Linked DNA regions of Caenorhabditis elegans. The protein of the gene in region 1 interacts with the protein of each later gene in a pairwise test. Each region holds a gene or a part of one and is shown on either strand. Other genes may lie near its edges. The genes, in order: srh-87 and vglu-3.

Region 1 (3,700 bases):
GATTTTCTTGAGTTCTGAAAAAAATGTGCAAATGTCTAAAATAGCCACTGCAGTCATAATGATATTTATGGAGGAGTTTCTCATAGATTTTCTTGTCAGAATTGCAGAATGTAAAATGTTTACCAAAATACAAGTAATTGAAATGATAGACTCATATGACAGAACTTTCTCTGTGAAAACTCTGAAACTCTCTGATCTTGAAATACCTTTCTTTTGATTTATATGACACTTACGCCAGATATCTTTCGATTCGGTATAGCCGACGAGCAGTAGAATGCTCAAAGCCCGGAAAATCAATTTGAAGATATTTGTCACTAATCATTGTTGTAAAACTAAAAACTTTTTGATATCAAAAGGAATGGAAAAACAGAAAGCCTCCAGAAATTTAATTTTTTTTTTTGATTTATTGCGGAAGGAATTGAAGAACGAATATTTTACTCAAAAGCTGGAACTAAAAAAAGGGAATTGTCTCAGAAAAATATATTATTAAATCGAAGACGGAAGCTGCAGAAATGATAATTATCCCTTAATTTTCAGGCTACGTTCAGACATCACTTTGAAGCATGGCCGGGTGGCAATTGCTCCAGCAATGGCCAAAGTTGTCAAAAATTTCCGATTTCAGCACATCCCTGTTGTGATATTTGAGCATTCTACTGCTCTTCGGCTTTGTTGATTTGTAGGAAAAAAGGTAAGGTTTGTAAAAAAACATAGTTTATTAAAAAAACTCCTTTTATGAAAAAATTATTTGATAACAATTTGAGTAATTACCACAGAATCTATATCGATATTTTTCAAGGGTTGTTTTGGTTTAGATTTCCAGAAATATGACAAAACGAACTGCCGATAAGGATGATGTATAATGAGTACAGCGACTGTAGATATTAAGCCATGAATTGAAGCATGAAGAATTGACAAATTGGTTAATGCTGGAAAATTGGTTTTTTGTTTAAATTTACCCACAAATTTATTCCGAACCTTGATTATAATAATTAAAATCAACAGCAAACCAAATATAAAAAGCGGTCGGTAACATGAACAAAACAGGAATTGAAATTTGTAGAAGTATGCTTGCCAAAAATTTAATTTGCAACTTTCTCGTGGTCTTTGAAGTAAACGAACGAATCGAGAAAAACAAATAGTAGACACAACATGTCAAGTAAAACAAAATTTGAATCACTTCTACCACAACTCCTAATACTGTGAAGGCAATTAAAAAATGAATATGATAATCATCGATGCACAATACAAAAATATTGGAAGCCGTGAAAAAGTCTTGAGAAGGACATGGAAGCCGTCTGAGAACTTTAAAGAGTGCTTCTTCCTGGTTTGCTGGTATGAAAAATGTGAATGATGCTGCGTAAAATACTCCAATCAGTAGTTTTGTTAGATAGTAAATAGTTTTCGTACTTTTCCGAGTTATTTTGAACTTGTTGAATGGAATTGCGTTATTCCGATTTTCTACCAATATTGTTGTAGATAATAACATGACTGAAACAATTTTTTGATTTTGTGAAATTGATTGCGCGCTGTGTGGTCTGACGCGATCTCGCTCAATGTCGGCTGCGGATTTTTAAAATGTATCTGATGGGAACTGTTCCAGCTTCCAGATTGCTACACTTCCGGATACCTAAACTTACAATTCAGACTCTGAAATGCCAGCCAAGCCTGAATTTTCGGTGGGACACCCAAAAAGTTCAACAAGCCAACTGAAAATCCCGTGAGAGTTGGAAGAAATATATATGGTGTCCCGAGGCAATTCAAAAACACATCCGCCAGACACGTCCTGAATATTTCTACATGTGCACAGTCAATGTTTGTGATGTGTATACTTACCAAACATGGAAATTGAAAAGCGGAATTCGATAGGTTGACATTTCCTTTGGGCTTTTGTATAGGATACAGTAACCTCCAAAAAGATAAACTGGAAGTGAAAATGCAGTCAAAAAATGGGAAGTGTAAGAAAAGTCTTGCCAAGAGCACAAAAACGTATCGCATCTTGGACATGTTGTATAGTTTGTTAAGTAATACTCACGGAGACTAGACATGCTCACACGATTTTCACAAAAAAAAACTGTGAAGTGAATAAACCCAGTTTTTTGGTCGATATGACAGTTGTTTTCTATAAACAAAAAATGACAAAAGTTTTCTGAGAACAGGATGACTCAGTTGGTTATCTCAACAAAAATAAAGACAACTAAGAACCTAGTGGAGTAAATGAGGAAGCACGGTCATTGTGAAACATCAAATACCCTCTGTTTCCAACCTACAAAAGCAATATACTCATATTTTCATAATTACTTCAATTTATTTTCATAATTACTCCAAAAACGAGGAAAAGGAAAAATGTTTTACAAGCTGTAAGTTTTGAAGTGAAATTGCCGAATACGTAATACTTCAGAATACGTTCGCCAAATTCGATAGAAACACAAATCCAGAATCAATAACATAACAGTTATACAAAAAAAATCTACCGCGTGTTAATCGTAAAAAAAAACGGTAGGGATTCCATGGGAGGCAGGCGCGGTAGGGCCTCAAGCCTGCTGCCGACCTGCCCGCAGGCCTCTCGCCTCATTTCTGTACCACATAGTGTGTAAGGTGGTTTTATCTCCGCGGCCGACACTTTTCAGGTTCCGCGCCGCACTACATGCAGGCGGCGCGAGGCAGGCGGAGGTAGCCGCAAGGCGGGCGCGGCTGGCATTTTGGCTCGGTTCGTGTCCAGTGGTGCAAATAGCCGACCCGATGTTTTCAAAAGTTGAATTTAATATATCGCGTTGGAACAGTATACATATATTAAAATTGACAATTTTTTTTCAATTTTTATACTTGATTTTTTTTTAAATTTTGGTTATGTATTCAATAATTTTTTAGAAATTCAATAGGTATTCAATTGGCTCCAAATATCCAATAATTTTTCAAGTAGCACTTCTTGATTTCTAATTATTTCCGTAGCACATTACTACTACTGCATCCTGTGAAAATTACCTGAACGCCTCATTTGTTGGGTTTTGTTTTTGAGTCAGTGTTTTTGAGCCCAGAGAAATTAAATTTTTGTTAAACTTAATTTTGTAAATCTGATCTAGTCTATCTCTGATTTTTACCGCGCTAGATTAATTCAATAAAATTGCAATACTCACATTTCCTGTATCTCGACGGAAGGTGGAATTTAGTTCTAGGCGTGTTCTGGTTGCTTGATCACCTCTCACTGTCAGTAAAATATACAAAATCGTCAGCGCTTTTTTGGTGCAACTTTTTATTTAATTTGGAGTATGTGTTCAAAATTACAAATATACCTTTTGAAAATATAGTTTTAAAAGTGACCAAATTTTACCAAATCTGGTAATCATCAACCTTAAATGTACCTAAATCGATTAAAAAACGCAAGATAATTAATTTGAACGCCCTTAATTAGAGTTTCCAACCGCTGCGACATTGGCAAGTCGGTCAAAATTCAAATTCTGACTAATGTTATGTCATTTTTGAGCCGCCATAATTTTTTTGAGAAGATTTCAAGAAGTTTCATCATGAAATTCGGCGTTTACCAACAATTTTGAGTCTAATAAAGCGATACAACAATTTCGACTGCACCACCTTTTCACGTTTAGCCATATTTCAAATAATTTCAGAGAATTCGTTCCGATCATAATGCACCAAGAGTATACAATATCATTTGCTAGTTTAGTGATTAATACCTTCCATATCA
Region 2 (5,822 bases), on another chromosome or scaffold:
AAAAAATTCACACACATTTTTCATATTTATGCATATTGTCCAAATTCCCTATACTGATCTCAATGTCCTTTACCATTTCTCCCGACTGACGGCCATGTCGTCGTAGTTCCTTGACAAACATGCAATTCCGATCACTTTAAAGGCGCATAGGGAGGAATTTTGTGTCTAACCCGGCAGATGTCGGATGTTTATTTTCATCCTCTCCTGCTTGAACTTGAAACTTTTTCAAATGTCTGTAGTCATTTTAATGTGTTCTTTCTGTCTTTTTTCAAACTAGTCACGTTTTATGCTCTTACCAATCAATACGACTCACTCGATTTTTATAAATTTGTTTTGAATTTCGCCCGAATTTTCAGATTTCAAGCGCCCGTCAAGTGTCGGTCGTTTTAACAACATTTGTTCACATAATGGTTGGTTTTTTTTCAGTATTATAACTAACGTTCAGTATTATAACTGAAAATTCCCGGAACAGTACTAACATTTTAGAAATTAGGATCTTAGAAATCTAGGACCCCGGTGAGCTGGAAGCCCAAGCCTATGAATTTAGGAACTTTAGTTTTGGGGTAGTAGGAAAAAGGTTCGTTCTATCTAAAAAAATAACATTTATTCCTGTTGAAAAGTTTTTAAAAGTCCACAAATAGTCCCTAAAAGTTGTAATTTGCCGAAAAAAACAATGATGCACGGCTCTGCTCGGCACCAACGAGAAATTATTTTTGTGTGATGGAGCTTCGAATCGACATTGCCAAAACTAAAAAAAACGACATTGCCAGAAAAAAACCTTTATTCAATCAAGGAAGCACAATGCATAATTAGAATACCTATAGTTCACAAACATTGTCCAACAATCTTCCGAACGGCTCGTTGTAGCCAATCTTCACGCCTTGTGAACTTGGGAACTTGACAACCACATTGCTCGACTTTCCTGGCTCAAGCTGAATCGTGTAGTTGACAACTCTTTCCGGCGTGATGGTCGCACCGACCGTCGGCTGCACACTTGCCTCGTCGACTTCCATGGCCTCTGGGCAGTTGAGAATAACCTGGAAAATGGGATTTTTAAACAAAAAATTTTACAATTTTTTTAAACGAAATACAAAAAAGACAAAAAATGTTTTACCTTGATTCTCGAATCCGTTGATCTGGGCAGCTGCTCACGAATCGTCAGAAGCACCGAATTTGGACGAAGATTGGTGACGACAGTGGCCTTCTCGGTGACCAGAGAGGTGACCTTCTTGTTGTGCTCCTGGTAGTTTCTCTCAGGCTTGTACTGGATACAGATGTTCGGGTCTACACCCAGCGAAATCTCAAACTTCTGTGAAGCAACCACGTCTCCAAACTCCTTCTTGTTCAAAAATTCACCGTCGAGGAAGATCGATGCCTGACCGGCGACGAGATGATAAACCGAGGTGTTCACCGAGTTGGCAGCGAGAAACGCAGCGGCATCCAATGATGGGACGGCCACGTTGGAGAGCTTTGTGTCGACAGTGAATTCTCCGATGTTCACTTTATGAAGTATTGCCAACCATTTGATTAGAACAAAACAAAGAACTCATTGTCATAAAAATACTCGATAAAAGTCGGCGAGATTTCGTTGAAAATAAACGCATTTTTCACTGATTTTTGAACTTCCCGCAAAACTAAATCATGAACTCACCGAAATACTGAACTTCTTAGGTTTAATAATTCACAGATCTTTATGAAATAATATTTCCTATTGAGCACTTAGCTTGAGCACCTAGCTTCAGATTGTTTCTTCGGGGACTTGTTTCAAATTTTAAACTCTTTTTAATTATATAACGAATTTTTTTAAAGTTCTAGAAGCTTCCAGTTGAATCAAAAAACTGAATTTTGAGGCAAGTTTTCGTCTAACATTTTTCAATTTTTGTCTAACATTTTTCATTACGAAATTGCCAATATGTGTTATCAAAAAGGCAACAGCTTGTGTCCATTAATCATTGTAGCCTGCGCATCCTACACTCCTCCCCTATCGGCCCCCGAAAACTTGGCGTTTACCAATCTTCTATCAGAGAATATTTTCCATACGTCTTTACTAACTACCTTATTTTTTAACAAATTTAATTTCATGCCGAACGGATCCATTAGAAACTGCGCAAATGCGGTAGCAGATACCGTTCGCCAAACGTTCTCCAGAAAGACTTGGGAGCATAAGGAACAGCTTCAAACTATTACTGAACAGGTTAGTTCAAGAATTTGATTTTTTTTTAAATTTTAGTGAGAAATTTGGATTTCAGAAAAAATTCTTCCTGCGAAAAGTGCGATGGCAAATTGCTATTCTAGCTCATTTCGGATTCGCGATTTCATTTGGAATACGGTCGAATTTCGGTGTCGCCAAGAATCGGATGGTCAATAATTTTACAGATGCATATGGAGAAGTTCATGTGAGTTGAATATACACCCGTGAAGTGTCGGATGCTTCAGTTAACGCTAGCAGTCTTGTAAGCCCTGTTAGCGTGAAACGTCGACTGTTGTCATAAATAAAAAGATCTTTTATTGAACCGGTTTTTTAATTTTCAGGAATCGGGAATTTCGGCAATTGCTGGTTTTTTCTATTTTCAGTAAATCAGCACTTTCGTAAATCAGCAAACCCGCGAATTGTCGGACGCTGGCCGTTTAATTTCAAACAATTTTCAAGCTATAACAATCATTAGAACAGTATTACATTTCCAGTAGGATACAATAGAAAATGTTCCCCAAACTTGGTCAGAGAACTGGTTTTCCGGTAATAAAAACTGATATTTAATGTTTTCTTTCTTCTTCAAAAGTTAGATTCGGGGGGTTATTCGATGAAAGGTTATCTTATCTTCTTTTTTTTGAACAGAGGGATCTTTGGAATCAGAAACTAAAGGATGATTACCTGGGAAACGTCGGTCACTTTGTTGGCCAGCAAGCTCCCCGCGAAATGTCGGCTGCTGAATTTTTATATTGTTTCCAGGAACGTGAATTCTTGTGGACAGGAGCTGAAGTTGGAATGATGGAGAGTTCTTTTTTCTATGGCTACGCTGCCTCCCAAATTCCCGCCGGTGTCCTAGCCGCCAAATTTGCACCGAACAAAATCTTCATGCTAGGAATTCTCGTCGCATCTTTCATGAACATACTCTCCGCGATTTCCTTCAACTTTCATCCGTACACTGACATTTTTGTGATGGTTGTTCAAGCTGTCCAGGGATTAGCGTTAGGGGTACTGTACCCTGCGATGCACGGAGTTTGGAAATTCTGGGCTCCGCCACTGGAAAGGTCCAAGCTCGCAACCACTGCCTTCACAGGGTCCTCAGTTGGTGTAATGACTGGGTTACCTGCCTCGGCGTACCTGGTCTCTCATTTTAGTTGGAGCACACCTTTTTATGTGTTTGGAGTTGTGGGAATTATATGGTCTCTTATATGGATGTACGTGTCATCTCATAGTCCGGAGACTCATGGATACATCAGCGATGATGAGAAGAAGCAGGTTACCGAGAAAATTGGAGATGTTGCAGTGAAGAATATGTCGGTAAGTCCATAGCGGCAGACGTCTTACAGTCTTGTGACAGAGCCGTAGGGTGACGGCCGCTGTTTGTCCGGCCGAAACTCTCTTCTTACCTCGGTATTTCAGCTCACAACACTACCATGGCGTGACATGATGACCTCCTCAGCTGTTTGGGCAATCATTATCTGCACATTTTGCCGCTCCTGGGGATTCTTCTTGCTCCTCGGAAATCAGCTGACCTATATGAAAGACGTCTTGCATATTGATATTAAAAACGTGCGTTTTTTCCGAAGTGGAGTAGGGGTACTGTAGGAGTACTGTAGTAGTACAGTACGATTACTTTAGATTTGAAAAAATGAGGATTTTTGAAACTTCTAATTTCCTAATATGAAGCCCTGGCCAATTTTTCAAAAATTTAGAAATCCCATCAGGTGTCGGCTGCTAAATTTAAAGTTACAGAGCGGATTCATCTCAATCTTTCCTCAATTTGGAATGTGTATCGTCACATTAGCCACCGGTCAACTCTGTGATTACCTAAGATCTTCTGGAAAAATGAGCACAGAAGCCGTCAGAAAATCAGTGAACACTTTTGGATTCACAGTTGAAGCAATGATGCTAGGATGTCTGGCGTTTGTTCGGGATCCTGTGATTGCGGTGACGTGCCTGGTCATCGCGTGTACCGGATCTGGATCCGTACTTTCTGGATTCAACGTCAACCATTTCGATATTGCTCCAAGGTATGCTCCGATCCTTATGGGAATTGCTAACGGGCTCGGAGCAGTTGCAGGAGTTGGAGGAATGGTAACGAATACGGTTACCTATCAGGTAAGGCTTCTGCAGTATTAATGTAGTTCCGCGATACTGTAAGATTACTGTAGGTTACAGTAGGTTTAGAGTAAAGTTACTGTAGGGTTTCTTTAGGTTACTATGAGATAAGTGTAGGGTTACTGTAGAGTTATTGTAGGATTACTGTAATATAGATAACTTTGTTGCAGAACCCAGATGGCTGGAAATGGGTCTTTCTTTTGGCCATGGCGATTGATATTTTTGGAGTAATTTTCTTCCTCATTTTCGCGAAGGGTGATGTTTTGGTGAGTTTTTTTTTGTTTTGGAATTCACAGAAAATCTATAAGTTCTGTTTCAGCCGTGGGCCCGCGAGCCGGAAAAGGAGGAAACGTTCAACGAGTTTGTTCGCAGAATGTGTAAGATTTGATATATATTGTGGTTTTTTACGATGCATGTATCTATAGATCAAATTTCAGCGATCAAAGTGAGAAGTTTGTCTAGAAAAACAAGGAATCGGGAAGGCGACACGAGTTATGAAAAGTGAGTTGACTTCTGTGATGTCTGTCACTCTGAAACAAAAATTTTCATTTCAGAATGGAAGAAGACTCGGAGATGAAGCCTTGCTCCAAAAAAGTAGAAGCTCGAGCTCCCGCTGAAAAATCTGAAAGTTCTTCGTGACTTTGCACTTATTCAATTTTTTGTACATTTTTTGACTGGCGATCTCTGTCGTAACATTGGCTGGAGTTTAAAAATCTGAGGTCTGACGAAATTCATATAAGATCTATAAATGAATGAAATTAATATAATTTGGAAACATTTTTCAATTCCACATCACTCCACAGCCCGTTCGTTCTCACATTCTTTGCTGTGCTCCGCCAGTCGTATTGGCTACTTGGGTGGTCTTCGTACCATAGGTTACCGTACTCGAACTGAAACAATGTTAACACTAACAAGTTTTAGTAAGAGCAGCCGACATTTCGCGGGTCGTCACGAGCCCGCGATATGTCGGTTGTTGGCTCATTTTGGTGCCACTGTGAATGTAGCCTGCTACGTGTCGGCTGCTTCTATTTTTTACAAAGCGGCGCAGCCAACACTTCGCGGGCCTCCGAATTTCTTTTATCGTGTACACCACGTGAACAACTTTTCTCAGTTTTCCCCTAAACATTTCAAGTGCAACTCACCACGAGCATTTTCTGTGGGGAACAGGTCACCCAGAATAGGTGCCCGTGAAGATCTGCAGCACACCAGGGATCATATGCCGGGTAGGTGTACTTGTATTTTATGTCATTGCCTTGAAAGAAAGGGGTTTTTTGAGAAACTTTAAAACTTCTGAAATTTAAGTTTTCAACAATTTTGCTTACCTGCCTACCTGCCTAGTGGATCTACAAAACCTACTTTCTGTAAAATTTCATTAGGGATAACAAGTTTTTTTCTTAAAAATTTCAATAAAACCCACTTGCTCCGCCGACCCAATTGATGACACTTCCGTTTTTGTGCACATCCTTATACATCAAAAATAAATCCATATTCACAATATACCCGGTTTTTGGGGTCA

Evidence for each region.
Region 2: the proteins of srh-87 (region 1) and vglu-3 interact in a two-hybrid assay, tested with the Caenorhabditis elegans proteins (one large-scale study listed by BioGRID).

The regions. Positions count from the first base shown.
Region 1 is NC_003283.11:2,943,638-2,947,337, forward strand, and holds srh-87 (Serpentine Receptor, class H), read right to left. Parts: upstream 2,066-3,700; 5' UTR 2,046-2,065; coding exon 1,834-2,045; intron 1,784-1,833; coding exon 1,638-1,783; intron 1,489-1,637; coding exon 976-1,488; intron 927-975; coding exon 742-926; 3' UTR 740-741; downstream 1-739. Other genes in the region: srw-137 (G-protein coupled receptors family 1 profile domain-containing protein), read right to left, coding at 1-181, 234-322.
Region 2 is NC_003281.10:10,298,346-10,304,167, forward strand, and holds vglu-3 (putative vesicular glutamate transporter vglu-3), read left to right. Parts: upstream 1-2,032; 5' UTR 2,033-2,080; coding exon 2,081-2,194; intron 2,195-2,249; coding exon 2,250-2,396; intron 2,397-2,950; coding exon 2,951-3,505; intron 3,506-3,607; coding exon 3,608-3,757; intron 3,758-3,940; coding exon 3,941-4,306; intron 4,307-4,476; coding exon 4,477-4,572; intron 4,573-4,625; coding exon 4,626-4,683; intron 4,684-4,743; coding exon 4,744-4,807; intron 4,808-4,860; coding exon 4,861-4,945; 3' UTR 4,946-5,064; downstream 5,065-5,822. Other genes in the region: vglu-2 (Major facilitator superfamily (MFS) profile domain-containing protein), read left to right, coding at 1-2; T07A5.1 (uncharacterized protein), read right to left, coding at 5,065-5,196, 5,449-5,558, 5,724-5,822.